Arabidopsis thaliana: one gene and its partner. The protein of the gene in region 1 interacts with the protein of each later gene in a pairwise test. Each region holds a gene or a part of one and is shown in the gene's direction. Other genes may lie near its edges.

The links.
Region 2: the proteins of AGL57 (region 1) and AT3G43430 interact in a two-hybrid assay, tested with the Arabidopsis thaliana proteins (one large-scale study listed by BioGRID).

What each region holds. Positions count from the first base shown.
Region 1 is NC_003074.8:1,073,466-1,076,571, forward strand, and holds AGL57 (AGAMOUS-like 57), read left to right. Parts: upstream 1-1,833; coding exon 1,834-2,457; downstream 2,458-3,106. Other genes in the region: SIP1A (small and basic intrinsic protein 1A), read right to left, coding at 276-566.
Region 2 is NC_003074.8:15,354,004-15,357,325, reverse strand, and holds AT3G43430 (RING/U-box superfamily protein), read left to right. Parts: upstream 1-1,831; 5' UTR 1,832-2,064; coding exon 2,065-2,568; 3' UTR 2,569-2,791; downstream 2,792-3,322.

The sequences.
Region 1 (3,106 bases):
TCGAATTCTACTCAACTAATCTAAAATGGGGCATACAAGTGGGGACAAATCACGGGAAAAGCATATACTACATAGCTTTGGATTCAATGATTCATGCAAAACTAGATTCTAATTCGCAGACAAAACTAGATTCTAATTCGCAGACAAACACAAGCCTATACCCATTTGAAAGAAACTATCACAGATCACAAATATTGATAGAAACCAAGTAAACCCAAAACAGTAAGCTGAAAAAAGTTTAAAAATTCAGAAAAAAGTTTGGATCTTTAGAAAACCTGAGCAGGTAATCTAATCGCCAAGGAGAAAAGAGTATCTCCGGGGACACCGGCGACATAAAAGGCAGCGCTTCCGGTAGGATTGAAGCTAGCGCTACCGAAGATAACGGTGAAGATCGAGACGTAGACGAAAATCAACGACGTCAAAATCACCAACGGAGCCCAAGTGATTGCCTGAAAATCACCGGCGGAGATAATCGCCGCCGTCTGAATTCCAAAGGTAGCGGAGAGGACAACCCAAGAGAAGGTCATCAACATATCCCCAATCGCCGACTTCAACACACCCATCATCTTCGTCTTCGTCTTCTTCTCTTTGGCGTTCGTATCGAGAAAGTTCTCTGTCTTTTGGGGATCTGGTTGTGGTTAGGTGGGTGGTACGTCGCCTCTTTAGCTTTCTCTCTCACAGCTATTTTTCTCCTCAAATAGATTTTTTTCTTTTTGAAAATTTGTTTTTTTTTGTTTTTTTCTTGTTTTATGAAACGAAGATATCTTTGAATGATTAACCTAACCGATAGTCTTACAGAGATTGCAACAAATATATAAATTATTAGTTATTGAATATCAGTTGAAATTATACGTGGACTTAAACTAGGTTTTATTAGAGTTAATAATTAGAGTTTAAATTAAGCATATAAAAAGCGTGGATTTTATTTTATATTAGCTAGCTGTAGCCTATGAGAGGAAATATTTTTCATGTGTTTCATGTTATATAAATTTGGAAATTTATAAGTATAAATTGCATCCCTTAAGTTATTGTTATTTTAGAGAAAATAGATTAAAGTTATTTTAACCTAAAATTAAATTTTTAAATTTTTTTTTTATGTTTATATATTGACTTCAATTCTATTAGCTTTAACTAGCTTTCCAACGGTAGTAATTTCAAGTCAAACGGAATATTATAGCAATTCTATTAGTTTCAATTAGCTTTCCAACGATAGTGATTTCAAGTCAAACAAAATATTATAGCAAAAGTTATGACTAATCAAATGAACGGACTTATACTAATACAAAAAAGTTTTATTTTTTAAATGAAATTTGATAGAAAAATAAGATAAATTTGGATTTTGAAGTTTTTTAAAAAAATTATATGACTAATCTACAAAAAAATAAGAATATTATGGACAAATTTTGTAGTAGATATCTTTTATATCAAATTTTTCCTATTTTTTTTGTAACAAAAGAATTTTGGATCTGAGGTATGTTCCCTGTAAGGGATACACAAACTCGTAATTACCTAAAAGAACATTCCTCCTTGAATGGTCAATTAGCCTTTACACCAGCTATTACACCAATTGGGTTACCATAATAGTTTCTTGACTGATTAATGAAGATGTTAAAGTGGTTGCCAAATGTGTTTAGTCAACATTTTTTTTTTTTTTTTGTAAATTAGTCAATACACTTTCTTCATAACTAAGATTTAAATTTAATGTCTCCAAACTTTGTAATCCTATCTCTTTCTTTGGTCTATAAATAGATTGTGTTTTGCGCATGGTTTTATCATTACATACAAAATAACAAACCTACAAGAAATCAAACACTAGTTCTGGTTTCTGCAAACATGTCATCTACGAAGCAAGCAAAGGGAAGAAAAACAAAGGGGAAGCAAAAGATCGAGATGAAGAAGGTGGAGAACTATGGAGATAGGATGATTACGTTCTCAAAACGTAAAACCGGAATTTTTAAGAAAATGAACGAGCTCGTAGCAATGTGTGACGTTGAAGTGGCTTTCTTGATTTTCTCTCAACCCAAGAAGCCCTATACATTCGCACATCCGTCTATGAAGAAAGTGGCTGACCGGTTAAAGAACCCTTCGAGACAAGAACCATTAGAGAGAGACGATACCAGACCCCTCGTCGAAGCTTATAAGAAACGAAGGCTCCACGACCTCGTAAAAAAAATGGAGGCGCTCGAAGAGGAGCTTGCGATGGATCTAGAGAAGTTGAAACTGTTGAAGGAATCGAGAAATGAAAAGAAGTTAGATAAAATGTGGTGGAACTTTCCTTCGGAAGGTTTGAGCGCGAAGGAGCTGCAGCAAAGGTACCAAGCGATGCTCGAGTTACGTGATAACTTATGCGACAATATGGCTCACTTACGATTGGGAAAAGACTGTGGTGGTTCATCTTCTGTTCGTGTGGGACGTCGAGTTTCTGGTGGTGTTCGTCTGTTCGATCGTGAAGCATGATCATACATATTCATACTTGATGATTTAAATTTCTTTGTATTTGAACTGCTGATTTTAATACTGCATGTATCCATTTGACGAAGCTCAATCGTCTCGAGTATATCTCTATTATCTAACAGTATTGAGAAAAAAGGAGTTTCAGTTTTCAAAAGTTGAAAGACTGAGCCAAGTGATGACAAATTCGAGCGTTAGGGTCTTCACAAATTGGATATTTTGCGAAAAATCATGTTAGTTTTTTATTTGATGTATTATTAATAAGAAATGAGGGTTTCCTTTTTTGAAGTAATCAAAAGAATTTTCCATTTTTGCGTCCAATCATGTAAAACTTAACCATTCCTTTTGTTTCCTTTTAAAGATAAAATTCCTTTTAAAAGTAATTTTTCATTTTCTTCAGAAACCTTTCGGTCATAACCTTCTCTTATAAAATAATAATCTCTTCTTACGAATCAAAGGTCTCTTATTCGAAGGGCAATAACATTTGACCATAAAAAAAACCCCATATATATATACAGTGTATATATATATTTTTGCCCCTTTGTGAAGAAAATAAAACAATCAGAGATGAGCCCTAAATTTTCCAACCATGCGACCGTTTATGTGATCCATCGTTGCGCGGGTATATCGAAGATCGTATTATGAGTCTTTTTAT
Region 2 (3,322 bases), about 14 Mb from region 1:
GCAAATATGCCTTTTTCATCTTTGTTTATATATATATTAGGTTTACAAGAAAAGAAAGAAGAAAAGGTATGGCATTTGGAGGTTGAGCATTTGACATGAAAGTTGAAGTAATGGAATCTGAGTAGGATAGTTAGGAAATTGATGTGTCAGATTGGGACCACCTTGTCTTTTTGTTCGTAGACGACATCATGTGTCATGTGCATGTGGAAAGGATTTGTTCCGTTTTTTTTTTTTTTTTTCCTAGAACATAATTAAGGACTATCATTATAAAGTTAAATCGTTCTCTAATTCTTCTTTTTATATCCTAACTAATACTTCATTGAATACATCATTGAACTCTTACCATTAAAAAAATAGTGATGCTTACGTAAATTTCTAAAGTAAAACCGAGAAACAGAAGAAGCCAAACCACTGTTATAAATGGGTTGATGTCTATCACCACAATTGAGATTCTTTATTAATTAGCTATTGCTATACGATTAATATTTAAACTTCAACGAAGGTGCTACGTATAAGATTATTTTAATATAATGAAAAAGATGCGACGTAAGCCGAAATATTTGATATACATTAATATCATCTCGATTCACTAGTACCATCATTCATATCATAATATACTTAACTACGGTTTTGATTGATAATCACTTTACAAAACGGTACAAAACGTTATAAAATATATAATTTTAACAATTACCAATCACAAAAACGTTGCTAAAAATTTTACTCTTAGTTTTTTTTTATAATTTTCTCGTATAGTTTTTTTTACAGCTTTGCATTGTTTCGAAAAAGCTAACAGCTAACAGATTTTAGTTACCATCGGACCCTATAAATTTATTCGTGAAATATCATAAAATTATTTACACCTTTTAAGTTTTTATTGTTTAATCATTTTTCTTTCGGTTTCTTTTTGTTAAATTAAAATAGATAAGTAATGAAAATCAAAAGAAAACCAAAGAAAAGAAAAAACCCAAAGAAAGTTATGTGAGAATATGGGATATTGGAATTGTGAAAATATATATATATATTTTTTTGTAAACTATATTTCTGACGTAAAAGCTAACAGAGAACATAAAAAGCACATGAATATATATGTAAAGAAAACAAGGCGTAATCGTTAAGGCAATAAGCCACAAATGGAGTAACAAATTTAAAGGTTTATGTGAATGTGACCAAATTGCTTCTAAAAGATAACCAACGATAATGATACTAAAATCTGTTACGTCAAAATGTTTTTTTTTCTTTTCATATATGTTTCTCTTTTTAGGTGGTTTGGTAAAAGGAAGAGAAAAAGAAACGATTACGATCATCTTTTATTCCTCACCGTCTCTCTCAATCTCTCATGCAAGCAAATACTGCAAGCCAGAGTAGCACAGACTGTGACACGAACGCCACTATCCCAACGTCACCTTCTCCTGCTCTTTCTCTTGTATTTCACTTTAGTCTCTTCTCTCAACTGTCGTCACCTAGATATTTTTAGATTCTTATTTCTTCACCCAAAACTCTTTTGATTGATCCTCTGAGTAACATTTAACTTTATAAATGTGTTCAAGGGTTTATATTCCACGATCATATATAAAATTATGTTACAAAGTTTCATTACATTAACTAACAGAACTCTATCCAAACATTAATCTTCTCCTTTTACTCAATTTCAACTAACTAACAGTTCATGCATTGAATTTTCAATTGTACTGTATGAATAAAATAGCTTAATAGCACATTAAATTTGACTGATTAAGTTTTCCAACATCAACAGCTGAATAAAAAAAAATATATCCTCAATGCAGACTCATAATTTATTATATAGATTAAAATATGTGGATACAGATAAGCATAACAGAAAATTTGACACCGAAAGTTGTAATGAAAAAAACAATTGTAAATAAATAAATACTTTTGCAAAAATAATAATAAAAATAGTTAAAATAAATAAAATAAAAAGCCACTTACACCAATGAAAAACCAAACCATCACCACCTTTAAGTTGTCTTTATAAAGACGCATGACTCTAACTTCTAGTCCTCCCTCTTCTTCTCCTCTCTTTCTCTACTCCAAGTTTTCACAATGACATTCTTCATCGAAGACACTAGTCTCATCATCAGCCACGTTCTCTACAAAACGGCACTTATCATCACCGTTTTACGATGGATCTTTGCATGGATCCTCCGTTACCGCTCAAGATCCTCCTCATCATCATCATCTCAATCCTCCTCTTCTCCTTCTATTTCATCACAAACCATCAAAGAAAGCCTAGCCGTGTCCGCTTTCCGCGACGCGGTGGAGAGATCTCCCGCGGCGATAAACGACATGTGTGCCGTGTGTCTAGGAGATCTTGAAGACGAGGACGAAATCAGAGAGCTTAGGAACTGTACTCACGTGTTTCATCGTGATTGTATTGACCGATGGCTAGATTATGAATGTTGCGGCGGTGATGATGATAACCACCGTACTTGTCCCCTATGTCGAACGCCGTTGCTTCCATCTTTCACTGATTACTCAACCGTTACTCAAACTAGTTGGGCTGTTGAACGACTTCTTTACCTCTTCGGCGACGATCTTCTTCCCTGACTTTTATTTTTCTTTTAGAAAACATTTGATTTCATATTTTTTTTATGAATATTGTAATTGGTAGAGGGGTCGAATAGGAAATATAAGAGTGATTGATCGCAATTATACGAAATCGAATCAATTTGATTTGATTGTATATACAAATGTTAAACTGTATTAATTCTCCTCTTCAGATAAATGTCTAACATTTTTTATTATTATTTCAACATTTTTCATTTATTTATCCTTTCTTAGTTGTCACATTCCGTTTTATTGTTTTCTACTTATCTCTATAGTATTTTTTTAAGTATAATTTTTACGGATGGGTTAAACTATTTTCGGATACATATGATACCCAATTTAATAAAAATATTATTCATAAAAGTTTGGGTGGATCGGATTATATTTGACCCGACTCTTCTATTGTTTTTTTTATCTAAAGTTGGATACAAATATTACCAAAATTAGATCATATCTACTAATTATGTTTCTATATTAAATAATACATATAGTTAGAATATTTGGTAATAATTTAAATCTATGATTCTCTTTTCATCTTTATTTAATTTTTTTTAATTTTTTTGGATAATCGTATAATACATAAAGTAAACAATTTTTTTTCATATATTTTGATTCAAATTTTGAAAACGAACATATATTATCCAATTATTGAAAAAGTATATGTTTAACATCACACATTAGCTAAAATATTTAGAAAATAATTCATAATCACACTGTAAATAAAATCAAAATGAATCCAAATCCGAATGACTAG